Linked DNA regions of Tribolium castaneum. The main gene of each other region encodes a partner of the protein of the gene in region 2 in a complex. Links are inferred from orthologs where the notes say so. Each region holds a gene or a part of one and is shown on either strand. Other genes may lie near its edges. The genes, in order: QIL1 and Mitofilin.

Region 1 (14,390 bases), on a different chromosome or scaffold from region 2:
TGCTAAAACTATTACTTTTTGTGAAAAGAATAAGTTTTTTTATTTCTTTTTTGTTTTAAAAGTTAGAGATAATGTGAAGCTACATCAAAAAAAAATAATAGTGTATTTAGGTATCTACTGTCAAAGTGACAGTAAACTTGTAACTTAAAAAATAATACAGGGTTATCCTTTTATAACCTACATTTTTAACTTCTAACATAGCTACAGCCTTAAAATTTTATATACGATCTAAATCGGCCATTTTGAGTTCAACTAAATTATTTTCAAAATGGCTGAACTTCCGGAACGATATGAAATTGGTGCCAAATTTGAAATATTTTAAATAGTAACCACATATTTTTATTGCATCTTTGAATTAGTCTTTTAAAACTCACTATCTCATCTGTCACAATTTTTGACATGTCAATATTTTTATGCAATACCACAGTGAAGTAAAGTGAATAATTCTTTTTGCACGTAATAACCAAGAGTACAAAAAGTCATAAAATCATCAGAATTGTCATTTGCCAAAATGCAAAAGCTACTATGATTTTTTTGAAATTGATGATCAAAATTTTTTTACATAAATTATAATAATGAATCATAATTAAATATTATTGTTTTACTGCCTATTTGACAATGAACCAGCTAAAAACTAAATAAAACGTTGAAGTTTGAAAATTGTTTTTGCAAGGCTTACTTGATTAACGATGAAAATTTCAAAGTTAGAGCTAATTTCTCGTAGTTCCGAAAGCTCAGCCATTTTGAAAATAACTTAGATGAACTCCGAATAGTCGATTTGAATCGTGTACAAAATTTTAAGGCTCTAGCTATGTTAGAAGTTAAAAAGTTTCTAATGGTACCCAAATATACTATATTTTTTTGTTAAATTAACATATCAGATTTTTTTTTTCTGATGTAATTTCACATGGTATTTAAATATTCTTCTCTAACTTTCGAAACAAAAAAGAAATTAAAAAATCTTATTCTTTTTACAAAAATTATTAATTTTAATAAAGAGCACTTGACTTCATAGTTTTATTTCACCTTTAACCATTTTTCAATGCTTACTTGATTAACGATAAACATTTTAAAGTTAGAGCTAATTTCTCGTAGTTCCGAAAGCTCAGCCATTTTGACAATAACTTAGATGATCTCAGAATAGTCGATATGGATCGTATACAAAATTTTAAGGCTCTAGCTATGTTAGAAGTTAAGTTTCTAAAGTAGGTTATAAAAGAATAACCCTGTAACTATTGTCACTTTGACAGTAGGTACCCAAATACACTATAATTTTTTGTTAAATTAACAACATCAGATTTAGTTTTTTAAATATTCTTCTCCAACTTTCAAAACAAAAAAGAAATCAAAAAATCTTATTTTTACAAAAATTAATAGTTTTAGCAAGGAGCACTTGATTCCATAGTTTTAATTCACCTTGTATGCAAAAATACCCAAATAAATTGCCAGTGTCAATCGGAAATATATTAATTTGTTTTACTTACTGATTTTTCTATATTATTTTTTATACTAGACCTCTGTGCGTATGAAAAAAATTCGGAAAAAAGTCGTTTAACATCAACACTTTGACAGGTTTTGTTGACAATTTCAAAAATTCAGTGTCAAACAATTAAAACAAGAGCAGATCAATAATAATTCTTGTAGTAATTCCCCGGAAGTCCCAAACGTGGTGTCCCACCTGATAATGTTACGACATGATAGTTACGAAACATCGCAGTTTCTACGCACTTGAGAATTTCGTCAAAATTTTTCTATTAACAAAGGAAAGTCATGGCCACATCAACTCGTGATTAATAATTTATTAAGAAAAATATCCGACAGGAAATCGATCCCAGCGCGTTAAAAAATGTGCGTTTGCAGCAGCATCGCAGGTAGCTGTGCTCGAACAATACAATAACAAAACTGACAGGTATGACAGTTGAGCATCGGTCGATGTTTGTTGGTTGTCAAAGCGACTAGATGCGTGGCAACGTCAAGGAAGCGTCCAATTTTTTCCTATCATTTGGAAATCTTAGAGACAATCTAAACAACCCGCCATATTGGTTGGGTACACACTCGAATGTTTTCAATGTTTTCGGCGAAGGATACGCGATTTTCGGGGGCTACTTACGCGATGCAGGGCCGAGATAGTATCCTATTGCAAACACAATGCCGAATTGAAGAATTCGCAACGCCATAAATAAGTACTCATTTGGGAACTTTGATAACACGCAAGACACCACACAACACTTAACTAACGCACGATGTTTTCGATAGTATAGGCAGACACAGAACAGTAAAGGTTAAGAAGTGATAATTCCCTAGTAAATCACTGGCAACACGAGAATACAGCGCCTCTGGTGCTGAAGTGCGTTACTACCACGGTAAAGCGCCACGTTTGAATAAATTCCTTTTATATTCTGTTTTTTATTATTTTTATCTTACAAGTTTTATTGCAAATTGTTTAAAATAAAAAAAAATATTTTCATTTTAAACGAAATGAAAACATTTTATATTTATTTTAAACAAAATTTGCAATGAAACTTACAAAAAAAGTTGTTTTGGGGTAATAAAACACAGATTTTGTTAACATTTTTATTGTACACTTGAGTAACATAACAAATTAAATTTTTCAAAAAATTAAAGTATTGTATTATTTCTTAATTATACAAAAATTATCAAAAAATTAAATCAGTTAGTGTTGGCATGTTTTGCCTGTCTGCTCCAGACTTAAAACAAAATAAGGCCTTCTTTGCAATGACTTTTACCTTGTCTGTCAGCAAACAGTTGCCCACGCTACGACCACGAGGAGGTACATGCAGTGCACTGACACACTCGAGCGCAAATAAGAAACTTAAAAGTAAATTCTGAAATACCCTAAATCGAGAAAACGCCAAAATTTTGAACTTACAGGATCCTCAATTTTGCAGGCATTCCTCCACAATTCGTGAAGCTTTAGATTCTTAGGGAAGGTGAAGAAATGCTTGTTGGCATGTCCTTTGTTGGGAACATAACCACTGGTGCATCCGGGGTATTTGCAGGAATATTTGCGATAACCAGCCATGACTAAAGTTCGCTTGAGTAGTAGAAATCAAAAATCCGTCACTCCAGCCCAGAGACCAATGCCTTTAAAATAGAAAGAAACACCAATCAAAAAGATGAGGTTATATTAACAAAACAAGAGATACTTATCTTTTTGGTCGGCGCTCAACACCAGGAATTGACTCACTAACGAACTGTAATCAGAATTTTTGCTTTGATTAAACGATGAAACAAATAATTGCTACATACTTCCGGTAACACGTTGAACGATGAGTGACAAAACAACACTTTTGGCGCGATATTTTCGGCGCGATCTTTTTAGCGATCTGCGCGCAAGCGTAGATGTCATTGTTACGTCAAAAAATATAATTTAATGAAATCCCTAATAAATACGCGCTTGTTTTAAAATAAGCAGTCGTCATTGGTCGTCCCTTTTCATCTCCCCGGGAGTGCAAAACCCCCCTGGCCTATACTCTCGTGTTGCCAATGCGCGTATCCCACTTTCACCCCCATGTAGGCAGAGGCCGTACGAACGAATAACCAACCATTTAGCATATACGTTATCGTCATGCGCACTACTTTGCAATTCTTCCATTAAAAAAAACACTGAATAATGGAGAAATAAACGTTTCGATCATCATGGCACCGCGGAACCAGATCTAGTGGCATTTGGTTACTTGATGGTCATTTGTTTTCTATACTATACTATCATGGTTTAGTACTATAGTAAAAATGGAGTTTTATGAATGAGAGGAGCAATTTCTGATAACGAGTTGATACGAAATTAGCGATATCTTATCGGACGGAATTAAAATTATTGTTTACTATATTCTTAATTCTGAAAGGTCATGGACTGATTGCAAACATGGAGATAAAGTATTGTGTCAAAAAAATCTGTTGGCAACACTACTCAATTAACATTTAGCATTTTTTGTAAAAAAACAACAAAAAAATCTAATAATAATTTTTTTAAGATAGGAAAAATCATGCTTACGGTCGGTTTAACTAAAAGTTAGGATTAAAAAGTCAATTTATTCTGTATTCTGGCCGAAAAGTTGTAAAATGGCGCGTTTATTTACACATTTTCGGGCTTTTTTAAGCGTTTTTTCAGTTTTAAGAACAATTTTTGCTGGGAATTTTTAAGTATAATTGGGTTATTTTTGCCCTTTTTAAGTAAATATTGTTTCTGCAAAAACAAGGTCAAATTTTTTTGTGTGTTCAGTTTGATTGCCATTTTTATGAACAAAAGAACTTTTGGCAAAAATACATATATAAGATTCTAGTTTTTATTTCTTTTACATTTTTTTTAAAATCAATGTTGGAATGGCAGTTTTAAACTCATTATTATCGTAATTACAAAATTTCAGTGTTAAATAATAATGATACCAATAGCAAAAGACAACAGCTAGCGTTTGCGGATTTAAACATTATTTCTGACAAAAAATAAACAACTTTTCTTATTACTTATAATAATAACCAATTATTATTTCAGTTAAAAAATAAAGTTTATTTTACCCTTTTTTGTACGTTTTAATACGTTTTTCACTCACACACAGTTTTTGCAAGAAGTTTTATTTATTTATTTTTTTCGATAATTTTGGTAAAATATGCCAAACCAAACCATTAAAAATGATGTATTTTGTATTATTTTTATCTTTTTCGGTCTACTGTAAATATAAAATTTTTCAGCTTAAAAAAAATATAACGAAAAATAAGTTGTTAAAAAAATCCAGTTATATATGCAATCAAGCAAACACACCTTCATACCAAATTGCATACTTAAAAAAAAAACCTAATTTTTGGGTATAATTTAGCAAAAAATGTTTAAGTCAGGCGTCTAAGCGTCTTGTACGTAAAAATATGCACTGAATGCGATAGTTAAAATGCTTTAGAATAAATTCCTAGTTATCAAAAAAAAAGGGAAAAAGTGAAGTATTTCTTTTTATTCGGACTATTACGATAGTGCAAATAATTCTAAAAAAGGGGACCCTTTTGAATTATCAATGACTATTTTTTGTAAAAAAAATCCAATAACAAATTTAATGGGTTTAGTTAATAATAACAAAAAAATCATGAATCAATTTTTATTGATACAGCCACACATTTTATTTACAACATATTAACAACCACTTCTACTTTTTCCCATCCTTTGTATCCCCGGAAGCTTCAAACACTTTTTGCATGTCCGGATTTTGCAAAATAGCCGAAATTCCTTCATCCGCCCACTTGTTCACTTTATGCGGTAATTCACTCAAAAATTGAAACGTTGCCGTCACCCCTTTGTTCCAGCAAACCTGGACATTATAAACCTTGCTGCCCCCACTGGGAAACTGAGGCAACTGCAAGAACAAGTCCCTAAAAAATAATTTTGTGGGGGGCTCTGTACCTCAAAGGGGACCTGTTTTCGCGCCTCTTGCACATAGGGCTCAAGTGTGGTGTTTAGTTTATCGTACGCTTTCAGTGATTCCTTGCTCTCTTTCCAAATCCCTTCGTTATTTAAATAATAAACTGCGCTTGCAGCTAACCCAACCTTGATGGCGAACCTGTCATTATGTAACAAGTGTGCAAAAAATTAAAAATTGAAATAAAACATTAAACTGTATTATATGAGTGTTATTACCTGAACATGTTTCGTAATAATTGATTTTTTTTAATTTAGTTATCGGGTTATTTTCAGGTTATGTGCTTGAAAGATGACCGGTCAACACCAACCAACTTGAAGCAAAAACCCCAAACTAATTTCAATAACATTAAAGATAATTATTTAGGCATTTTTAATACCAAACGCTTGATTGTACATTTACGCAAAAAGTGCTAAATAAATTTGCTCGATTTTTTAAAATTTTGATTACGTTTTTGCACGCATTTTAATAATTGTAAGTTAGTTGTTTAAATTAGGCGCGTGCCCGCATCCGCCTAAAACTCCCTAGATATTACGCTGTGGCTGGTTGTAGCGTTGTGTTCGCGAAAAATGTTTTTTTGCCGCAAATTCCACTAAAAAAAACGAAAAATCGGTGAAAATTCGCTTCAAATTGATTATCGTCCGTTCGGTGACTCAATCAATCAGTGATTTTTGATTAAAAGTAAGGTGCTTCCCTAACTAATTAATCAGCGACGCTGATAACACTTTTTGAATGTCATTACTATTGCAATTTATTTTTTAGATGGAGGAGCAGCCCAAAGAACGCGTCCGCTGCTTTTTCGATGTTTCGATCGGCGGTTTGCAGTCCGGACGCATTGTTTTTGAGTTATTTACTGATATTGTGCCGAAAACATGCGAAAATTTCAGGTGTTTGTGTACGGGGGAAAAGGGCATTGGGGTGAATACGAAGAAAGCGTTGCATTTCAAGGTCTGTATTGATTGAAACGGCGGTGGTCTCTTGATTGATTGGTTTGCGTTCAGGGGGTGGTTTTCCATCGAGTCGTCAAGGATTTTATCATCCAGGGAGGGGATTTTTCCAATGGGAATGGGACTGGGGGTGAGAGTGTCTATGGAGGAACTTTTGAAGGTGGGTGCGGATTTAAAAAAAATATACTAAGGGGTAAAAAATAACTGTTTGGGTTGGCCATGCTGATTCACATTTTGACGGTTTAACTTACACACTTGATCTGAAATTCCATTCAAATTACTCAAGTAAAAACTGAAACTGAAAACCATTTGTTGATAAAAAGCATCCGGTAATTTAATTCTTATCTTGTTTGCACACGTTTTTTGATGATATCGTGACGTTGCGACATTTTTCTTTTTGCACTAGGTTTTTTCATAAACACATTCTTTTAAATTACACAGGGACTTTCTTTCAGAGAATCTAACAATGTTATCAGCGATTTTTTTCAACCATTCGTTTAACTGTAATAACATAAAGTTCGAAAAGCTTATTTTTTCTGATTTGATATATTTATTTGTGTAATACATTAATTTTAAATATTTAAGAATAAACAAAACATTTCGCTTTTTCTTTGTAGTAGGCCATGAAAAAATTTTGAATTCTTAATTAAAACTATGAAAATTGTATTACCCAACAAGTATTTATAATTTAATGATTTTTTAAACCCTAATTAATTCAAAAACAGCATAATAAATTTTTATTAGATCAAATTTTTGCAATTAATAAAAATTATTTGTTTTTATATTTAAAATGGCAAGCTTACGTTGTCATTCTATTTTCCAGTTTTAAACATGAAATGTCGGAAGAAGAAAAATCTTATTAATTGTATGATTGCGTATCAATAAAATTTTATTTTACAAAAAAATGTCAATCCAAACACCAAAATCAAATTCCATCTGCGGTAAAAAAATACACAACATTATCAACGTCACCTCCATTGCACTAAATCATAAAAAAGTGGCATCAAGTGGTAGTGACACATCGTTTGCAATTGTCTGCACATTTTTTATGTAATTAAAATCTGCGACGCTCGTATATTTGTTCAATTGAAAATAACTAACTTATTTTTATAATTTCACATTTTTTACTTTAATAACCGTTCACAAAATTTCTAGATTATTCACACCTTTTATGTGAAATAATTTTTCCATGGCCAACTACTTTCAAATATTTTAAATATATTTTTTATCAAAAATATATAAAAATATCAAACTATATTTATATTGTTTTGAGTTCATAAAAAAACAAGCTTTTCGAAAATGTCATAGCCAATTATGATTCTCATTTAACAAAATACAACTTTATGTTATTACAGCTAAACGAATGATTAAAAAAAATCGCTGATAACATTACTAAATTCTCTGTAAAAAAGTGCCTGTATAATGTCTTTGTTTTAAATGTGTATCTTTTATAATAAGGAAGATATGATTTTTTTAATATTTCACTGAAATGTCAACTTTTGTTTATAAGTCGAAAACAAAAGACGATAGCAAGATGCGGTTTTGACCAAAATTATTCTCTCAAAAAACGGATCCGAGAATGTGTCACTCGTTCAAATAATTAATTTTTTTGTAAATAGCGATAATTTATTTTCAGATGAAAATTTTGAACTGAAACACGACCAACCTCTTCTCCTATCAATGGCAAATCGAGGAAAGGACACAAACGGTTCTCAATTCTTTATGTGAGTTTTAAGCAAAAGACATATTTTTGTCCAATTGGACAACTGATTTTTTTCAAAGTGTTTTTCAAATAATTGTAGAGAAAATATTGACATTTGAATGATTTTCTCAGTCGCTTTAAGAGATGTGTTACAGAACAGTTACTTTTGTTGTTCTGTAGCAGTACGTCTGTTCCCATCTATCCTGGCCTTCGCTGATCATATCTTGTCATGTTTTGTGTTATAGTACTACACAACCGGCCCCTCATCTCGACAAGTGAGTTTCACTTTTAATTGATAAAATCAAATTCTACTCAAATAAAAAATTTCTAGTGTACATGTTGTCTTTGGACGTGTTGTCGGAGGAGTTGATGTTGTACGTCAGATTGAATCACTACCAGTTGATGCCAACAGTCGGCCACTTCAAGACGCGAAAATTGTCAAGTGTGGCGAACTTGTAAGACAGGTCAAAGGTAAGAAAACTGGCAAAAATTAACAACAAATCAACAAAAAAATTTCAGCGAAAAAGGACAAGAAGAAGAAGAAGGAAGAAAACGAAAACGAGGAGGAATCATCCGGCGATGAAAAGAAAAAAAAGAAACACAAAAAAGACAAAAAGAAGGAGAAGAAAGAAAAGAAACACAAAGGGTGAGCTTCAAAATTTTATTATTTATGTATTATTATTTTTTTTCGTAATTTAGAAAAACCGATTCGGAAGAGGAAGGCGAACTGAAAGATCTTCACCCTTTGGCCACAGTCACTGATATTAACCCTGATGATATCCCGGACGTTCCATTCAATAAATTTCTAATGAGAGGTCCGCAAGAAAAAGATAAGGACCGAAAGTTTAACAAAAAAAGAAAAGGTTTTTCTCGAATTATTATTATTATTAAAAATAATAATAATTTTCTTACAGATGATTTTAGAAGAGATCGGAATCGTCGAGAGTGGGATAATCACAGTTTTAACCGAAGAGATCGCCCCATTACGACCAAAAGTGGCCGAATTATCAAAGGAAGGGGAAAATTCGTAAGTGTTTGGTCAAAAACAGTTGCCTTCATTAAGGCCCTAGACCCTAGGACCCTAGAAAATAAACCTTGTTTTTTACAAAAATCAATAAAATCGCCACACGGAAAAACATGAAGCAAAAAAAATTTCCTTTCTGAAACTTTAAATTATTACTCTCTTTAAATAATCGTTATTTTGTCCGTATACCTTATGTTATAAAAAAAATAGTTTGGTAAATCACCTTAAATTGTTGATTTTCTTGCAATTTTGAAGATTTTTGTCTTATTGCCTATTGATTTGTATTTCTAGTAATAAACGAATTATTTATTAAATTATTAAGTTCTTAAAGTATTTTAAGAAAAAAGTTCATTAAGGCATGATTGTCGCTCTTTTTTTTACAGTCGAAAAAATTTTGTAATTTTTCGAAAAAATAAAATTAAAGTTACTTGTACCAAAAAAAAGTGTTCCGTGATTATCGGTCCACCATTTGAAAAAATAACAGTTGGCTTCATTAAGGCCCTAGACTTTCTAATAAACTTTGTTTTTTACAAAAATCAATCAAATCGCTACACGGAAAAACATGAAGCAAAAAAAATGTATCTTTCTGAAACTTTAAATTATTACCCTCTTTAAATAATCGTTATTTTGTCCGAATACCTTATGTTATAAAAAAAATAGTTTGGTAAATCACCTTAAATTGTTGATTTTCTTGCAATTTTGAAGATTTTTGTCTTATTGCCTATTGATTTGTATTTCTAGTAATAAACGAATTATTTATTAAATTATTAAGTTCTTAAAGTATTTTAAGAAAAAAGTTCATTAAGGCATGATTGTCGCTCTTTTTTTTACAGTCGAAAAAATTTTGTAATTTTTCGAAAAAATAAAATTAAAGTTACTTGTACCAAAAAAAAGTGTTCCGTGATTATCGGTCCACCATTTGAAAAAATAACAGTTGGCTTCATTAAGGCCCTAGACTTTCTAATAAACTTTGTTTTTTACAAAAATCAATCAAATCGCTACACGGAAAAACATGAAGCAAAAAAAATGTATCTTTCTGAAACTTTAAATTATTACCCTCTTTAAATAATCGTTATTTTGTCCGAATACCTTATGTTATAAAAAAAATAGTTTGGTAAATCACCTTAAATTGTTGATTTTCTTGCAATTTTGAAGATTTTTGTCTTATTGCCTATTGATTTGTATTTCTAGTAATAAACGAATTATTTATTAAATTATTAAGTTCTTAAAGTATTTTAAGAAAAAAGTTCATTAAGGCATGATTGTCGCTCTTTTTTTTACAGTCGAAAAAATTTTGTAATTTTTCGAAAAAATAAAATTAAAGTTACTTGTACCAAAAAAAAGTGTTCCGTGATTATCGGTCCACCATTTGAAAAAATAACAGTTGGCTTCATTAAGGCCCTAGACTTTCTAATAAACTTTGTTTTTTACAAAAATCAATCAAATCGCTACACGGAAAAACATGAAGCAAAAAAAATGTATCTTTCTGAAACTTTAAATTATTACCCTCTTTAAATAATCGTTATTTTGTCCGAATACCTTATGTTATAAAAAAAATAGTTTGGTAAATCACCTTAAATTGTTGATTTTCTTGCAATTTTGAAGATTTTTGTCTTATTGCCTATTGATTTGTATTTCTAGTAATAAACGAATTATTTATTAAATTATTAAGTTCTTAAAGTATTTTAAGAAAAAAGTTCATTAAGGCATGATTGTCGCTCTTTTTTTTACAGTCGAAAAAATTTTGTAATTTTTCGAAAAAATAAAATTAAAGTTACTTGTACCAAAAAAAAGTGTTCCGTGATTATCGGTCCACCATTTGAAAAAATAACAGTTGGCTTCATTAAGGCCCTAGACTTTCTAATAAACTTTGTTTTTTACAAAAATCAATCAAATCGCTACACGGAAAAACATGAAGCAAAAAAAATGTATCTTTCTGAAACTTTAAATTATTACCCTCTTTAAATAATCGTTATTTTGTCCGAATACCTTATGTTATAAAAAAAATAGTTTGGTAAATCACCTTAAATTGTTGATTTTCTTGCAATTTTGAAGATTTTTGTCTTATTGCCTATTGATTTGTATTTCTAGTAATAAACGAATTATTTATTAAATTATTAAGTTCTTAAAATATCTTAAGAAAAAAGTTCATCAAGGCATGATTGTCGCTCTTTTTTTTACAGTCGAAAAAAGTTTTTTAATTTTTCGAAAAAATAAAATTAATAAAGTTACTTGTACCAAAAAAAAATTGTTACGTGATTATCGGTCCACCATTTGAAAAAATAACAGTTGGCTTCATTAAGGCCCTAGACTTTCTAATTAACCTTGTTTTTTACAAAAATCAATAAAATCGCTACACGGAAAAACATGAAGCAAAAAAATGTATCTTTCTAAAACTTTAAATAATTGTTATTTTGTCCGAATACCTTATGTTATAAAAAAAAATAGTTTGGTAAATCACCTTAAATTGTTGATTTTCTTGCAATTTTGAAGATTTTTGTCTTATTGCCTATTGATTTGTATTTCTAGTAATAAACGAATTATTTATTAAATTATTAAGTTCTTAAAGTATTTTAAGAAAAAAGTTCATTAAGGCATGATTGTCGCTCTTTTTTTTCACAGTCGAAAAAAGTTTTTTAATTTTCCGAAAAAATAAAATTAATAGTTACTTTTACCTTACGTTACTTACAATTTTTTTCCACTTTTCAGAGATACAGAACCCCGTCCCGAAGCCGCTCCCGCAGCGGCACGCCCCTGCATTGGCGTAAGGAAGAGTCCCGCGTGATAAAACTCTCCGAATTCGAAAAACTCGAACAAGAGCGCCGAAAACGTGAAGAACGCCGCAAAATTGAAGAAACCCAACCCGACGACAATGAACCAGACCCCACAACCAACGACGACAAAAACAAAGAAGTCGATTACAACGCCCTCGACTACGAAGACAACCAATCCGAGGAGGAAGAAACGGTAAAAAAACAAGTCCCAAGCCTCGTCCAGTACCCACTCCCTGGCACTTTCAACCCAAATAACGAAACCGACCAGAAAAACAACAAAGACGCGATGATTAACAACACAAAGAGCGACGTCATGGCGATGGCGTTGGGCGTCCAGGTGAAGACCGGCGAAGAGGAGGCGGCGAAAAACGAAACGAAGCAAAACGACGACAAGAAACGAGCACTTCCCGAAGCTGCGAACAAGAAAGAGGAGGTTTTACGGACTGGACGTAATAAATTCGAGACGGAAAAGCCCGATAATGAATATAAAAACGGTAATTATCGTGAAGCGAACCGACGGCGGGTTGAAAGACGTCCGTTTGAAGACCGGAGGCCCGTTCGGAGAGGTTTCGTCCGACGGGATCGCGGGCGCTATGTTCCCTACCCGTCACGTGACCGGAAATACCGGAGGTCGCCAAGGTCCAGGTCCAGGCGCTCGCATAATAGACACTCCAGGAGTCGCAAAACACCGTCTCCAGATAAAGAAAAGGCGACGAGAAATCGCTCGAAATCGTCCGAGGATGAGAAAAAAGCAAAAAAACACGAAAGCAACAATCAGAAGATTGACGATGCTGAAGAGAAGTATAAGAAGTTGTTGATTTTGCGGAAACAGATGGAATTGCTGGAAATGAAGAAGAAGAAAGAGGTGGAGCAAAAATTGCTGGAGGAGAAGCATCGGAAGGCGAAAGAGGAGGCTGATATGTTGGAGAAGGCAAAGAAGGCGAAACGTGAGGCGATTGAGAAGGAGAAGTTGTTGAAGACTTATAAAGTGTTGCAAGAGTTGGATAAGAATAGTTCGAGTAAAGCGAAACGAGAGAGGAGTTATAGTTCCAGTTCGAGCAGTTATAGCGACAGTTCAAGCGATTCTTCGAGGTAAACTTTTTTTCGAGTCAAAAACTAAAATGTTTAGAGAAAAACGAGTGACACATTCTCGGGTCCGTTTTTTGAAAGAATAATTTTGGTCAAAACCGCATCTTCGACTTATAAACAAAAGTTTATTTTTTATATCTTCCTTATTATAAATGATACACATTTGAAACACAGACATTATACAGGCACTTTTTTACAGAGAATTTAATAATGTTATCAGCAATTTTTTTTAATCATTCGTTTAGCTGTAATAACAAAGTTGTATTTTTTTAAATGAGAATCATAGTTGGCTATGACATTTTCGAAAAGCTTATTTTTTTCTGAACTCAAAACAATATAAATATAGTTTGATGTTTTTATATATTTTTGATAAAAATATATTTAAAATATTTTAAAGTAGTTGGCCATGGAAAAATTATTTCACATGAAAGGTGTGAATAATCTAGAAATTTTGTGAACGGTTATTAAAGTAAAAAATGTGAAATTATAAAAATAAGTTAAAGTTATTTTCAATTGAACAAATATACGAGCGTCGCAGATTTTAATTACATAAAAAATGTGCAGAAAATTGCAAACGATGTGTCACGACCACTTGATGCCACTTTTTTATGATTTAGTGCAATGGAGGTGACGTTGATAATGTTGTGTATTTTTTTACCGCAGATGGAATTTGATTTTGGTGTTTGGATTGACATTTTTTTGTAAAATAAAATTTTATTGATACGCAATCATACAATTAATAAGATTTTTCTTCTTCCGACATTTCGTGTTTAAAATTGGAAAATAGAATGACAACGTAAGCTTGCCATTTTAAATATAAAAATAAATAATTTTTATTAATTGCAAAAATTTGATCTAATAAAAATTTATTATGCTGTTTTTGAATTAATTAGGGTTAAAAAAATCATTAAATTATAAGTACTTGTTGGGTAATACAATTTTCATAGTTTTAATTAAAAATCCAAAATGTTTTCATGGCCTACTATAAAGAAAAAGCGAAATGTTTAAAATTAAAAATGTTTTAAAATTAATGTATTACACAAATAGACATATAAAATCAGAAAAAAATAATCTTTTCGAAAATGTCACAGCCAACTATGATTCCTATTTAAAAAAATACAACTTTATGTTATTACAGTTAAACGAATGGTTGAAAAAAATCGCTGATAACATTATTAAATTCTCTGAAAAAAAGTGCCTGTATAATGTCTTCGTTTCAAATGGATATCTTTTATAATAAGGAAGATATGATTTTTTTAAGATTTCGTTAAAATGTCAACTTTTGTTAATAAGTCGAAAACAAAAGACGATAGCGAGATGCGGTTTTGACCAAAATTATTTTCTCAAAAAAGGGACCATAGAATGTGTCACTCGTTTTTCTCAAAACCTCTTAATTTCGGAGTATTTGGACATACAAACAGTTACACATAC
Region 2 (16,228 bases):
TAATGGAATACAAGAATTTCCGATAATTAAATTCACGATAAAATCGTCAGTCATGCTGAAAAATACGTTGGTAAAATAACTGTAACCAATAATAGCATTTTAATAATCTCCCTTGATTCGTCCTTATGTTTCCTATAAATGAATGAAAATAGTTGATACATAAAAATTTATGGAAAAAATGTGTAACGGAAGGTTCCGCAAGAGTTGACCCATCTGCCAAAACGTGTAAAATCACAAACGCATGAGGAAATCCCAGATTAGCGAAGAAAAAGCTAAAAATAACCCTTGATCCCTTTTATCAATTAATTTACCGGAAAACGGGGAAAACGAGATAACGCCAGGTACAAAAAGGGAATTTTTGGCCCTTGCAGCCAGACCCTCGCTTGCTGATCAAGGTGAGTCATGCGTTTTGTGATTTTTCTTTTATTATGGGGGCTTGCGTGCGCTTTTACGGCCCCCTGTCTCACAAACGGGGTAAGTTACAGCGCCTTTCGCCACTTTTTTGACCGAAATTTCCAGGAAAATTGCCAGTTTTTCCTGAAGCGTGCCAAACCCTTGACGTCCTTGAACACTCTGTGTAAAAGTAAAAGAAGCGCGTTTCTGACCGAGGCCCTTTTCGAGATGTGCAATTCTCCGTTTCGTCTAGTGACAAAATTGTAATTGTGTTGTCGAAATAAACACTTGTTCCCGATTCTTGTTATTTCTAATGGTTTGCAAACAGGCGACAGCCTTGCTCGTGGCGGCTATAAAAAGGGGAAATTGTGCGTTTGTCTCAGTGTCTGATTGGTTTTCCTGCTTTCCAGATTGCGAAAATGCGCGCTAATTGGGGCAATGCCGCCGTGCTTTTGACTGTGTTGTTTTTCCACGCGGTTATTGCTTTCCCTTCAAGACCAGACGAGCGCAGTCTTGCGAATAATGAGGTAAATAAGTTGATTGATGTGAGGGGGTGGCTTATGCAAGGGTTGCAGAAGTATCAGCTGTTGAAGGAGATTCTGCCGGCGCTGAGGGAGATGGCAGCCGAGGACAAGTTCCAGGAGGAGAAGAGGAATAACCAGGAGATTATGACGGCCTTTGGCAACATGAAGGAGTTGAGCGATATTTTGAGGTCCGGGTAGTTCAAGAGGATACGATTTGGATGTGAATAAACTACTGAATGAATCGAAATGATTTGTTTTATTCGCTTCCCTATCCATTTATTTTTAACACTTCAAACTTTGTTTATTTTTAAAAACTCCCTTCTGTTCAGAAGTTTTTCAGGTTTGTAGAATCAGATTTATTATTTCAAATTCGTATCCGGCTCGAAGAACCAAAAAATGAATCTTTAAGATTTTTCTCTATTTTTGTAATAACTATAGATTGTGGTTACATTCTTATCCGGCTCGAAGGACAAAAAAATGTACTCTGCTGAATTTGTATCCAAAATAACCTCTGGCTTTGAGATTTTTGTTTGATCTTGTTTTTTTTTCAATTGACTGTTTCCATTTCTTTCACACTGGCTATCACGAAGTGGGAAGAGGAATGGGGTTGTAATAAAACACCGACTAACAAGGACTGTCTTTATTGTACACTCTTGATGAAGTACCGGTTTAAAAATATACAGAGGATAACAATGAAAAAATAAATCGAAAGCACAATAATAAATAAGTAAAACTGTAATTGTTACTATTTAATTTAATGATTTATACAACATTAGAGATGCAAAAGCCCACTAGACGCCGCATGTGCCATTAAAGTGTTGGCAGCTTGTTGTGTCTCTAACAAAATCCTCGTTTCGTTCATCCATTGCCTGGCTATAGACCTGGGAGCGCCTTGTAATAGGTTCATATATTTAAGCGTTTGGGCGAAATCGCCACGATCTAACCAATATCTGTGCAAAAAAGTAATAAATACAACAACCTCTCACATTTTCGCACCCTTACCTAGCCCTTTGTAAAATCTCATTCGTGCTCAATTGACTAAAATCAACGGCTTCATCGTTGAGCTCCGCCTGTGGTATAGGACTAGGATTTTTAATCAGGAAAAATGCCTGGATATACGACAAGATATGCAACGGCAAAGCCCCGCCCTCTTCGGGCACTAGCGCCACCCTCCTGGCCACATCCTCCACCTTCAGGAAGCGCTCCCGGAGCGCATCCTCCGGGAACACCCCGCGCTCCTTCGCCTCCTTTGGAATGCCGTTAATGACCGCCTCCACCAACTCATCCCCTTTGGCTGCCGCCTTCTGCACAAGCGTGATCTCGGGACTTAACGGCCGCAACTGATCCTTCCAGGGAATCCCCGGACAGCCCGTCTTAATCGCCCTTAGCAACGCCTGACACGCCGCCCACAACACTTGCGATTGTTTGGCGGCTTTATCGGCCGCATCGCGCGCTAAATACCAAATTCAAATCTTGCGTCTTTTTTTGTCTTGCATACAAACCTTTAAACGCATGGTCGAGTCCCTTCATCCGGCCCACCATCGCCGCCAACTGCGATTTATGCTTGAAACGCTCCTTCTCCATTTCTTCGTCGAATTTTCGGGACAATACTCTTTCGATTTCGAGCGCACGAGTGGTCACGGCTTCATCCAAGTGGTCGGCGAAAACTTGCGATTGGCGTTTGAGTTGTTCGCGCAATTCGTGCTCGGCCTCTTTTCGCAACTTGAGACACTGAAAAAAAACAAACAAATGCCCTATTTTTTCAAAAAAAAAACCGAATTTTTCGGCCTTGTTGCAACATAGCTGCGCCATGTCGATCAAATCGTGGCCAGGGCAACAAAGTAACCAATAATTTTGGTTATTTTGATTTATTTTCAATCACTTACTAATCAGTAGTCGGTATTTACGTAAATTTAAAAACTAATGAAAAAGATAATATCTGGCAATATATATATATATATATATATATATATATATATATATATATATATATATTTTTTTTGGACTTAAAGTGCAGTTACACCAACCTGTTTCTGGAAGCACAGAGTCAATTTCCGCTTCTCCTCTTCGATGGCTTCGCAAATTTGGGCCTTGCCAAGTGGTTCAAAGCCGCCTCTTCGTGCCGCATCCAACGCCGACTGCAATTTCTCGTGCGCCACAGTTTCCAGTTTTGCCAATTCTTTTTGGTAATACAAGACAACGGAATACGCGTGTAAAATAAACAAATCCAAGTCGGCCTCGTTCACTTCCAACTTTTTATTGTAAATATCGATCGCGGGGAAAAGCGATTCCAACTCTTCGCAAAAATGATGTCTAGCCTTTTGGACCTTTTCCCAGTATTTATCGGTGATTGAGCCCAATTTTCTCTCGATTTCGTACTGCGCTTTGGCCGCGTCAATGTCCTCTTGGACTTTATCGATGTTAATGTTGACCATTTCTTTCGTGGCTGCGGAGGTTTTGGTTAGGAGAGTCTTTAATTTTGAGACGTTTTGGGCCGCTTGAGCTGCCTTCTCTTCGGCCAATCGCACCGACTCGTTCTTGGCCTTGGTTTTGGCTTTGAGGGCCTCCCATTGAGGAGGCTTGACCTGGTCCACGGACTGGTCCAAAATCTGGCTTATTTCTCCGTTATAAACGCGGAGGTCGTAGACAGCTTTGTTGTAAAAATTGACTGCTTCGGTGGCAGCGTCGCAGATTTTTGCCTCGAGTTCGGCCAAGTTGCTGGGGTGCGACTCGGGCACGGAGACCTCGCCAGGGGGCACCTTGGCCTCGCCACCTACCAAGCAAAGTTTTATGGACCTTTTCGATACTTTTCGAACCCGAAAATCATAACTCAAAACTTTAGTTTTTTTTACGACTTTTACGTCGTACAGCAAAACGGTTTGTTCCAGTGAATTCAGCGGCCCATTTTGTGTATTACACCAACTTTTAACGAGATCTAATATTTTAAAGTTTTTTGCTAAAAATTAAGATAGGCATTTTCTATAGTGAAAAATTTTATTCATTAAAAAAATTCATAACTCAAAAACTAAAAGTCGTAGAGCAATGCGGTTTGTTCCATTGAATTCAGCGGTTAATTTTCTGTATTATACCAACTTTTCACGAGATTTAAAATTTTCAATTTTTTTTGCTCAAATTTCCTGAGTAATACAACTTACCTTCAAAGAGGTGAAAAAAAATTTTTTTTTTTAAACTAACTCCAGCAAATTTTTATGGACCTCTACATGTCTTAACAACCCACTAAAGTTGTTAAAAGTCCACTAAAGGTCCAAATGTTCGATTTTTTGATGTTTGATTTTTTCAATTTTCGTCGCAATTTTTGTCGGTTTTGGGTACCCGGAACATTTGTCGAGCAATAGCTCCGGAACTATTAGAGATAATCCCCATAAAGTGTATTATCGTTGGAAAGCTCTTTAAATTATCTATTTTTTTCAAAAAAGATTATTGTTCTCCGACTAATAGTTTTCGAGCAAATTGCTGCTAAATGCAAAAATTGGTAAAATTTTAAAAAATTCATAACTAAAAAACTATTAGGAATTTGGCAATTTTCTCGATGCCAATCGATTCCCCGGATCATTTTGCATGAGTATGGATCAAAACAGTTCCATTTTTTAGAATAGTTTAGCCGTAAATGAGAAAATAAAAAAAATTTAAAAAAAGTTAACACCCCCCCCTTAAAATCGGTCAATTTTTAAAGTGTCTCAAAATCAAATGAAACCTATTTTATCTTATAGATTTTGATGTGCTCTTTACGATGGAACAAACTGTTTTCTTCTAGCTCTTTGGGTTTGGCCGTAATCGGCGTTTGAAAATTGAAAAATTTTTTGCGAGATATCGCCTTGAGTCCTATGTCATTTTGTAGAGTTTTTTATTCCGGTTATTCTCCATTTTTCCGTTTCTCGATATCTTTAATAGTTTCGCCGTAATTGGCGATTGAAAATTGAAAAAAAGTGAAAATGGAAACCTTTTTTTGCGTTTTTCTCGGAAACTAAAAGACTTAGAGCGACAAACAAAAATCCATCTGATAGCGCTTAATTTTCTCTATTTTTTCGATTAAACCCGGAGCCGCTCCGGGTAACGGTTCCGGCTACAGAGGCGATCAAAGTTTTGCACTAAAAAAATTCACAAAAAAAAAACTAAAAGTCGTAGAGCATTGCGGTTTGTTCCGTTGAATTCTACGGCTCATTTTACATATTATATCAATTTTTCACAAGAATTAAAAATTTAAAATTTTTTGCCTAAATTTAGGGTAGCCATTTGTCATAGTGAAATATTTTATTCATTAAAAAAATTCATAACTCAAAAACTAAAAGTCGTAGAGCAATCCGGTTTGTTCCATTGAATTCAGCGGTTCATTTTCTGTATTATACCAACTTTTCACGAGATTTAAAATTTTCAATTTTTTTGCTCAAATTTCCTGAGTAATACAACTTACCTTCAAAGAGGTGAAATTTTTTTTTTTTTAAACTAACTTCAGCAAATTTTTATGGACCTCTACATGTCTTAACAACCCACTAAAGTTGTCCAAATGTTCGATTTTTTGATGTATGATTTTTTCAATTTTCGTCGCAGTTTTTGTCGGTTTTGGGTACCCGGAGTATTTCTCGAGCAATAGCTCCGGAACTATTAGAGATAACCCCATGAAGTGTATTATCATTGGAAAGCTCTTTGTATTATCTATTATTTTCAAAAAAGATTATTGTACTCCGACTAATAGTTTTCGAGCAAATTGCTGCTAAATGCAAAAATTGGTAAAATTTTAAAAAATTCATAACTAAAAAACTATTGAGAATTTGGCAATTTTCTCGATGCCAATCGATTCCCCGGATCATTTTGCATAGGTAGGGATTAAAATAAGTCCACCTTTTCAAATAGTTCAGCCATAATAGAAAAAATAAAAAAAAAATTAAAAATTTGTCCATTCTTCACCCGAAAAATTCGTTATAAGTCTTAGGGCAAAACTGTTTGTTCCAGAGAATTTTACGGTTCATTACACGTATTACACCTATCTTTTACAACACTGGAACTTTGTATATGTCTTTTAGTTTTAATAATAATAATTTTAAATAATAGGAAAGAAATGAGCTACTTATAAAAATCAAAGCAGAGATATTAGTACCAATTTCGACATCGCGCTTGTCCTTCTGCTCGATGCGGATCTCCGTGTACCCCTCCTGGGGGACCTTGGTGTCTTCAAGTGCCGGTATCACTGGCTGGGGGGCTGTCGGAGGCTGGGTTAGTCACTCAAAGCGCGCGTTAGTCGCTTACCTTTGTATTGCTTCTGTTCTAATTTCACGTCCTCTTTCTTCTTGCGCTGTTCTTGCGTCAGCAGCCCCGAGACCGACTTCTTCACGTCCTCGTAGACCCCCGAAGCCGAGTCAAGTAGACTGTGCTCCTCTTGGAACACAAACTTGATCACGTCGTCGGTCCAGGGGACGTACTCGCCCAAAGTCTTGCGGAAGTCTGGGTCGTATTTAGCGTAACCGATTGTGGCACCACCGACCAAAGCGAGTGCCCCCAAGGTGTACAGCGCACCGGAACTGGACTTGTCTTTTCGTTTGGGGGGCGGGGGCGGACACACGTCCTTCGAGTAACATCGCACACTCTTATACAATTTGAATTCCAAAATTCGACGGGATTTCTGCAAGAAGCCGGCAATTACGTAAAGCGCCCAAGTCACGAGATGACATAACCACTCGATTTAGCTTTATGACGAGAGGGGCTTACCGTTTGGAGATTTTTCGACGGGAACCTTCCTACAATTCTTAACATCTTCTGGGGCAGCCACTTTGGGAGCGGTTTTAGCAAAATCAGACAACACAAAAATACTCCTTGCAGTTAGCTTGACAGTGCAGACATCACTCGAATTATCAATGTTGAGAGTCCTCAATTCGTGTAAGTGGCCCCAAAATCGCCCCAGATTCAACCAGGATGTCACAAAACCCACAAAAACGCCCAACCTGACCCCTAATTATTACTTTAACTCGATTTTTTTGTTTTTGGTTGCGAATTCTAAGGTTAAGTTATGCGGTATTTTTTAAGTTGTCAAGACGCTAAATCCCCCAAATTCCCATATTTCCATCCTTGTCCCACTCATTTGTTACGTAACGTCACAAACCTAACGAAACTAAAACCCTAACTAGAAAAATGTTGAAATTTTTAATTCCAGTCTCGCGGTTCGTTACAAGGGCCCCCCTGGTCCAAAATGTGGTCGCGAACGTGCCACTTGTGCGCACCATCACATCGGTCATCCCCACAACGATCGCAGCCCCCAAACCTAGTCTCTTATCCAGCCCCCAGCTCTTCCAAGTCAGCTCCCGCAACCTGATTAAATTGGGGCTTAATCGGGGGCGCTGCAAGTCGGTTAAGGCAGTGAGACGGAGGTTTTACCGGCTGCATTGGGGCGCCTGGATCCGCACAATGTGTGGGCGCCACAAAAGGCTGTGGAAGAAAAGTGGGGCTAACAAGCGCCGTTTGAGGCAGCACGTCATGTGCAACGCCAGTCAGAGCTACCTTTTGGATAAAATGGCAGGGCCCTTTTGGACCAAACGACGGTATTACGTCGATGACCCCTATGAGCCCTACCACACGCGCGAGGAGTACCCCCTCAGTGCGCGAAAGCCCAAGGTTTTTGTGCCCCCAAGTGGGACAGTGCCCAATTGTTAAATAAATAAACTAGTTGTAAATAAAATTTTTATTGAACTGTGTTTCTCATTTTGCCGATTCCTTCAATTTCGGTTTCGAGTATGTCGTTTTTGCGGAGGAATTCGGGGGGGCTGCGGTTCACACCGACCCCGGAAGGGGTCCCTGTGAGGATCACATCGCCGGGGTACAGAGTAACAACCCTGTAATAGCACATTTAGGGATGAACGCTTTATATTAGGAAACAAAATTACTGTGATAAATACGAGACGAGGAAATCGACTTTGAAGATCATTTCGTTCGTGTTTCCGTTCTGTTTCAACTTTCCGTTGACCCAGCTTTTGATGGTCAAGTTGTTGGGGTCTAGTTTATTTTTCGTCACTACTGCCGGGCCCAAAGGGCAGAAAGTGTCCATACTCTTGCCTAGGAGGTACTGTCCGTTGTTTCTGGCTGTTACCCAGTCTCGGGCGGTGATGTCTTGGGCCACAGTGTAGCCGAAAATGTGGTCAAGGGCTTGGTCTTGCCTTATGGCTTTGGCTTTGCGTCCTATGACCACAGCGAGTTCCGCTTCCCAGTCGACGCTCTTAATTTTTTTTAATAGGGGGATTTGGTAATTTAGGGGGCTATCATACTAACATTGCTTATTTTGGGGAGCTCGATTTTATCATAAGGCCCCACGATGGTTGAGGAGAATTTACTGAAAATTATTGGTTCATGGGGGTAGGGGATGTTTAATTCATCGCAGTGGCGCGAGTAGTTAAGGCCTACACAAGCCACCTTGTCCGGTTTGATTACTGGAGGGAGGAGTTCCACGTTTTTGAGGGGGATGACGGATTTGCCGGAAGCGATTATTCTGCTTATTACAATTAGGTGTTGAAATCATCAGATATTTGCATATCAAAGAGTGATTTATTTATTTATAGTTCTTCTGGCATTTTTTCAAATAAGACAAGATGGGATCTGAGCTATTTAATACTCAAAAACCAATGCTACCTATTTTTTTACAAATAATATTCATACTTTCCATGACAAATACAATCATAATACTTTTTTTATTTTGCGTAAGTAACAAATTAACAACTTTAGTGCCAGTTATAAATAAAGGTTAAACAATTTAACAAAAAAAAATGGTGTGAACTTTATTCCTCTAGACGATAAAATGTCATTTTTTCATGAAATAAGCAGTAGATAAGAGGCGATTTTAACAATAACGATAGATTTCTTATAATACCGGTAAAAATGATTGCACAAATTGAGATATTATTTGTACTTATTATTTGTATAATATTAAAAAAAAAGAAGACACTTACATTGTGTCAACAGCTGTGGAAAAACTGCCAAGCAAACGGTTTTCCAAATTTAAAAAAATACCAAATAATGTTTCATTGTTGAAAAATTGTTCATTTTATATTCATTACCTATTGCGTCATTAATTTTATTTTAAATTAATTGGAGTACAAGAAACAAAAAAATATAAAGAAAAAAAATCTTTAATCGATATGATTTTAGGATGTTACGTCCTATAAAAAACGTTACTCAGTTGGCCTTGCACAACGTAGTTGCGTGACCAATAGAAATTACGATCCATTTGGAGCAATTTCAACTAGATATTGTTAGAAAAAACAAACAGAATTACTTTTAATAAAATATTTATTAAAAAACAACCATGAGATGCTTATGAAATTTGCAATAATTAGACAGAGTGCTCAAAAAATATGTCCTAGAAAGAAGCCAATTTGTAGTTATTTTTCGCCATATTTTAACTTTTTTTCTGGGTTTATGGTTTCGTTTACGTCAAAAAATTATGCAAAAATAACATTTTTAATGTTTCTGTGCTAAAAAATTATATTTACAACACAAACACTAAATAACATTATCAAAAATTTGTTTACCCCGTTGGCCTTGAAAAAATGTCTGAATAATTTATGGCACATTTATTGTCACAACTTATCGACAGGATTAAATAAATACGCCAAAATATTAGATTTATTAATACGACAAATTGGAATAAAAAAATGCAATTTCATAAATCCTACAAGTACCGGATTGAAACTGCGATAAATGTGATATGAATATATTTGTGTATTGTTTTTTTTAATTTGGACGTTACGATTGGTTCAAATCAAAGGTAAAAATTAATAAAACCGCCCCATTTACGCACTATCGATCGGGCCCTCTAACCTGATTATCTCCCAAGTGCGGTAAACAAACAATTATTGTGCAAGTTGTCACCTTTTGGCCCGCTCGTAGACGTCATCGCCGGTGGCTAGGAACTTGGTCAGGGTGTTGGGTATGGAGTGGTCCACGTTGCTAATGTCGAAAATGTCCCCGTCTTGGGTAATCTGCCCCCCCAGATGGGGTAAACCGCCCATTTTGAGCCGGTATTGCACAAATCTCATCTCGTTCCGAGTTGAAACACCCAACTTTCTTATCGCGTGTTGTACTTTATTATTACGAATAAATAATCTCGAGTTAAAGAGATGCAAGATTGTTGTTGAACACACTTTTGCGACTTATAAGTGATAAGACATTTTGTGGGATGATGGTTAAAGAAATAAACAAACAAGTTGTGATAAAAAATTTATTGAACAATGTTTCTCATTTTGCCGATTCCTTCAATTTCGCTCTCGAGGATATCGTCTTTGTGGAGGAACTCAGGGGGGCTGCGGTGCATGCCGACCCCGGAAGGGGTCCCCGTGAGGATCACATCGCCGGGGTACAGTGTTACAATCCTGTAATAGCACATTAATTAAGTAATATGTGGGAAAAATGGACTTACTGTGACAAATACGAGACGAGAAAATCGACTTTGAAGATCATCTCTTTCGTATTTCCGTTCTGTTTCAACTTGCCGTTGACCCAAGTTTTGATATTTAAGTTGTTGGGGTCTAGTTTATTTTTCGTAACTACCGCAGGGCCCAAAGGGCAGAACGTGTCCATACTTTTGCCTAGCAGAAACTGTCCATTATTTCGTTTTTTCTGCCAGTCTCGGGCACTAATATCTTGGGCCACTGTGTATCCGAAGATGTAATCATGGGCTTGGTCTTGCCTTATGGCCTTGGCTTTGCGGCCTATGATCACAGCGAGTTCACATTCCCAGTCGACACTCTTGAATTATTATTATTATTATTATTATTATTATTAATTTAAAATTTGACAATTTTGGGGGGCTATACTCACGTTGCTTATTTTGGGCAGTTGGATGGTGTCGTAGGGCCCCACGATGGTTGAGGAGAATTTACTAAAAAACATGGGTTCACGGGGGTGGGGGATGTTTTGTTCGTCACAATGACCGGAGTAGTTGAGGCCCACGCAAGCCACTTTGTCCGGTTTGATTATTGGGGGGAGGAGGTCCACGTTTTTGAGAGGGATGACGGATTTGCCGGAAGCGATTATCCTGTTTAAGGGATGTTTTATGTGAAATTAAATTACGAGTGAAAATTAGATATCAACTAAGTTTTATTCATTTATAGCGCAGTTTACAAATATAGTTTATTTAAAAAAAAAGTTTTTGTTAAGAGTCGTCACGGTAAAGTAGGAGAAAAAAATGCACGAGTGTAGAATTGGTTGCATAACAACTCAAATCTATAAAAAACCTTCGACAGCTTAGTATAGAAATAATTAAGCTTTTAACAATTTAGTAATTATTAACTGACTTATTTACGGTCCCTTATGGCATTTTTTATTATCTAGTAAACCAAACAGATTATTATTTTTCACCTATTTATTCAAAACAACTCAATTAAATTTTTCACAAACTACTAATTGATAAATAGTAAAATTGCATAATACATTTCTAAAACATTGTTTTACTGTTGCAAAATTGCTCAACTTTTCTGTAAAAAATTGTTTAACAAAATTAAATTGTTTATTTAATTATTTTCATTACCTATTGTGTCGCCGATTTTACTTTAAATTAATTGGCGTACAAGAAACACAAAATAATAAAACAGAAGGGCAACATAAATGGAATTTGTTTATCAATTTTTGTTGATTAGGATGCTCATCCTATCAAAATAAAAACGTTATTCAATTGGCCTTGCAAAATATCGTTGCGTGACCAATAATAATTGCAACAATTTTAAGATACTTATTAAAAATTTAAACAAAATTACCCATTTGTAAAAGATTCAGTTCGTTACAGACTACTTTTATTAAAAATCAAAAATACACAGTGGTTCAAAAAATATGAGTAAATAATTTGGACATGTTTTTTGACTTTATTAATCTTTTTTCCAAGGTTTGTAGTGACATTAAAGTATGGCAAAATTTATTAAAATAAATCATGCAAACGTTTCTGGTCTAAATGACCAAAAAATTAATATTTATGACAGCATGGACAGTCATTGTTATGGCTGAGACGCTATCAAAAATTTGTTTACCTCGTTGGCCTTGAAAAATATAATTCTACATGTCGCGGATAATTTACGGGAGATTTATTGTCACAACTTATCAACACGATTAGACCAAATTAGATTTATTAATATAAAGAACTGGATTAAAAACCAAGAATTTATAATTGTAAATACTGTATTAATTTACATGCGTTGCATGTAAGGTTCTCATAATCCGTATGTAAACGATATACTGGAAGTACCGGATTATGAAACAGCGATAGGACAAATATGCTTTTTTAATTTACACGTTTACGGCCCTGATTGGTTCAAACAGGAGGTATAAATAATTAATAATTATCTCCCAAGTGCGGTAAACAAGCAATTGTTATGCAAAGTCGTCACCTTTTGGCCCTCTCGTAGACGTCATCGCCGGTGGCTAGGAACTTGGTCAGGGTGTTGGGTATGGAGTGGTCCACGTTGCTGATGTCGAAAATGTCCCCATCCTGGGTAATCTGCCCCCCCAGGTGGGGTAAACCGCCCGTTTTGAGCCGGTATTGCACAAATCTCATCTCGTTTCGAGTTGAGACACTCAACTTTCTTATCGCGTGCTGAGATTTATTAGAAATAAGTAATCTCGAATTGTTGAAGAGATGCAAGATCGTCGTTGTTGAGCACATTTTTGCGACTGATAAGAAACGTTAGGTCGGACGATAAGGGAAAGACACCCAAATGGGTATCAACGTCGAGGTAAACTGACGCTGAGGGACCTCAGAGAACCGGTTGAGGTATTTTCGACTCGGGGAAAGTAATTTATTATTTATCATTCAGTGCCGTTTAGAGACAGAATGCATTGCGTGCGGCCTTGAACGCAATTCCATTTATTACAGAATTTTTGTAAAATTGACAGAAAAAATAATAGAAAGTGAAAGTCGGCGACATCGAGTTGGCATGGGGTGTACTTCTCTGGGTGTGTTACCCGGGTGTGATGGTAAAGGTTTCGCTAGTGGTTAACAGGTGGCGCCCAAATTGAGTCACAAATGTTAAGTTAAAACAAGAAGTAATTGCAATAAAGTTGCAATTACAACGGTAATTAATCGCTAATTAGCGGAAATCCTGTTGTATGTCATTTACGGCAGGTTTGTGATTAATTATTTTCAATTAGAATCAATTTTCTCCGTTTTTGTGTCAAGTGATTATAAATTAACAATACGGGTTTGCGCACGGAATGCCATTAGTGTTTTTCCAAGCAAGGAAATCATTTTTTGGAACGGAGTCAAAAAAGGCAAATTTTTCAAAAGCAAACAAGATAATAAACAATTGTTAAAAATGTGATAATAAATTGTAAACTGACAAAAATAGAAAGTAAAAAACAATGTACATAGTAACTCCGTTAAAAAAAAGAGGAGAATCCAACTAAACCGACATACTAGGCTTTGATAATCCCTTTTTCCTCAACCATGAAACTAAGTCAAAAAGAAAATAATATGAGAAGTAAAAAGATAATTCTAGATAAAAGATTTGAGAACATAAAGTTAAAAAACTAAGAGTAAAAAGAATACACAGCAAGGTCTTAATAAATTTACCAAGTAAAACATTAATAAAAAAAAAGAAAATCGTAAGAAGAATTTCTACTACTTTTATATCAAAAACTATACTTATGTTATGATGGTACAGAATTCAGCGTTTGCTATTAAATACTAGTACTTTATTTTATCTCTCAGGCTATGATTTTTTTGAATTTTTCTATTATTCAGCATATTAAAAACTGTAGAAAAAAATAATTTGAAGCTCCTACTACCTTAAGATAAAATCTGGATTTTTTAAAATAAGTATTAGTAAGAAGTTAAAATATCAGATAATATAATAATTAAATTAAAAACAACAAAAAGTAGTAGTAATAAAAAAAGGAAAAAATTTCAAGTTTATAAAAATTACAATCTTAAAAGTCATTGTTAAAGCTAATGATAAAAGAAAAGTTTTTAGAAAAAAATCAGAAGATTTGAAGGTATTATAGTGTTAAAGGATTGGAAAACATAAATTTAAGGACTGATAATAAGATGAAGAACAAACAAAAAGTTCTTATATACCTAAGAAATAACGAAGCAGTGTTAAAAACTTAAAGAAAAACGAATATTTTACGATGAAATATAAATATGAAGGTGAGTGACAAGAATTCGAGAACTTAAAACTTGAGAAATAACACAAGAAACGAAAAAGTGCAGAAAAACAACTATGATTTCAATTACAAAGAATTTGAGAACTTAATTTTGGAAGAATAAATTTAAAAAATAAAAACAAACAACTTTAGGAAATAACGCTTCTGAGAGAAACAGTGTTAAACTCAAAAAATTATAATAAGACGCGAAGATTTAAAAAATTAAAGTGCCAAGCAATTTTTTGCTTTGAATTGAAACTTAAAAAAAACTTCTGAAAAAAAATTCAAGAATTAAATTTGAGAAACAACATTAGATAATAAAAAGAAAGCACAGCACTTAAAAAACAGGATTTTAAGATACAGTACACTAATAAAAAAACAAATGCTTTAAAATTAAATCTGAAAACTTGAGGATATCATTGACAAAGAATTTGAGGATTTAAAATTAAAAAAAAACTACAAAAGAACTAAAGCAGATTATAACATTTTCAAAAAACACGATTCTAAGAATAACTCAAGACTCAAGACATTAGTGACCAAGGATTTGAGATCTTCATTTTCGGGGACTAACTTTAGAAAAGAAGGAAAAGAAATTAAAGGATCTAAGGAAATAAGAGGCTTCTGAGAAGCAGTGTTAAAGATGAAATAAAAAAGTTTAATTAAGGTACAAAATAAGCACATAAAAGCACAAAATATTCACAAAAACGCGATTTGGGGAAGCAAAAATAACGTTAAAAATAATAAAAAATAAGAATAAAAAAACTTAAAACTAGAATAAAACAATTTTCTTGTAATAAAAGCATGTTGAATAAAATTATGCTGCTTCAAAATCCACATTTATTGAGAAATCTTTTGCAAAAAAATAAAATTTCAAGCTTTATCCAGAAGGAAGATATGACGATGTAAACATAAAATTTTAAATTTTTCAAAAATTTTCACAATAAAGACAATTCCAAACAAAAAATTGAACTTCGAATTTTTCGAAGCTTAATTAAGGTACAAAATAAGCACATAAGAGCACAAAATATTAACAAAAACGCGATTTGGGGAAGCGTAAATAACGTTAAAAATAATAAAAAATAACAATAAAAAAACTTAAAACTAGAATAAAACAATTTTCTTGTAATAAAAGCATGTTGAATAAAATTATGCTGCTTCAAAATCCACATTTATTGAGAAATCTTTTGCAAAAAAATAAAATTTCAAGCTTTATCCAGAAGGAAGATATGACGATGTAAACATAAAATTTTTAATTTTTCAAAAATTTTCACAATAAAGACAATTCCAAACAAAAAATTAAACTTCGAATTTTTCGAAGCTTAATTAAGGTACAAAATAAGCACATAAGAGCATAAAATATTAACAAAAACGCGATTTGGGGAAGCAAAAATAACGTTAAAAATAATAAAAAATAACAATAAAAAAACTTAAAACTAGAATAAAACAATTTTCTTGTAATAAAAGCATGTTGAATAAAATTATGCTGCACCAGCTGGTCAAAACCAAGGTCAATTTTCCCATTTTGGGCGTTTATTTCTTAATTAGAGCAACCGAGTAATTATCTCCCAAACAAAGAAAATTCCCTCGCAATTAAAAAACGTTAAACGCGTCATTCGTCTTGTTATTATGACCACAGCACAGCCTCCATCCAATTACGCCGAATTCTCGAAAAAACGTATCGCAAGTGTCCATTAAACGTGGCAAAATGTTTTGACGGAGTGCTCGAACAGGCCCATCAGGTTTCTTTCTTCTCAATTAAAAATTAAAAAGCGCCTGTCCGCAACGTCCCATCAAACTACCTGTTTACAACAGCAATGGTTCTGGTCCCATTTACATAGCTGGAGATGACAGAGACGCATACTTAAACCGATATCCCAATGATGTAATCTGGTTCAACTAAACGGCCGGTTAGTTCTGGAGAAATGCGCCACATAATACACCCTAATTAAATTAAAATGCCGCAGTCAACTTAGAGATAATTGATTGTCGAAACAAAAGGCTTCCGATACCATCTCCAACCGTCGCGGCCCGGCCATCAATAACACGAAAATGACACTGCGCCAGGGCCGGACCGGGCCGCCCCAGGCCCGGACTCCCCTTTTCCCCTCACACAATCTCCCATCCCAAATACAAATTGCTCTCACAAGCTTTGATAAAACGACCAAATCTGTAAAAATCTC

The links.
Region 1: Mitofilin (region 2) and QIL1 share a complex: the UniProt entries of both Drosophila melanogaster proteins name them as parts of the mitochondrial contact site and cristae organizing system (MICOS) complex. The link is inferred for Tribolium castaneum from reciprocal best matches to the Drosophila melanogaster genes Mitofilin and QIL1.

The regions. Positions count from the first base shown.
Region 1 is NC_087400.1:1,397,069-1,411,458, reverse strand, and holds QIL1 (MICOS complex subunit MIC13 homolog QIL1), read right to left. Parts: upstream 5,793-14,390; 5' UTR 5,650-5,792; coding exon 5,642-5,649; intron 5,565-5,641; coding exon 5,408-5,564; intron 5,361-5,407; coding exon 5,154-5,360; 3' UTR 5,092-5,153; downstream 1-5,091. Other genes in the region: protogenin A-like, read right to left, coding at 2,111-2,177; Moca-cyp (peptidyl-prolyl cis-trans isomerase G), read left to right, coding at 6,186-6,371, 6,425-6,530, 8,007-8,094, 8,318-8,347, 8,404-8,543, 8,592-8,718, 8,772-9,099, 11,806-12,962. UniProt on the Drosophila melanogaster protein: Component of the MICOS complex, a large protein complex of the mitochondrial inner membrane that plays crucial roles in the maintenance of crista junctions, inner membrane architecture, and formation of contact sites to the outer membrane.
Region 2 is NC_087395.1:24,359,375-24,375,602, reverse strand, and holds Mitofilin (MICOS complex subunit Mic60), read right to left. Parts: upstream 6,784-16,228; 5' UTR 6,687-6,783; coding exon 6,642-6,686; intron 6,556-6,641; coding exon 6,183-6,555; intron 6,136-6,182; coding exon 6,034-6,135; intron 3,691-6,033; coding exon 2,945-3,690; intron 2,649-2,944; coding exon 2,420-2,648; intron 2,371-2,419; coding exon 1,920-2,370; intron 1,868-1,919; coding exon 1,690-1,867; 3' UTR 1,543-1,689; downstream 1-1,542. Other genes in the region: uncharacterized protein LOC103314327, read left to right, coding at 813-920, 969-1,115; mRpL35 (large ribosomal subunit protein bL35m), read left to right, coding at 6,788-6,809, 7,084-7,580; fumarylacetoacetate hydrolase domain-containing protein 2A-like, read right to left, coding at 7,609-7,759, 7,811-8,139, 8,193-8,409, 9,789-9,955; fumarylacetoacetate hydrolase domain-containing protein 2A, read right to left, coding at 10,138-10,288, 10,336-10,664, 10,737-10,953, 12,296-12,570. UniProt on the Drosophila melanogaster protein: Component of the MICOS complex, a large protein complex of the mitochondrial inner membrane that plays crucial roles in the maintenance of crista junctions, inner membrane architecture, and formation of contact sites to the outer membrane.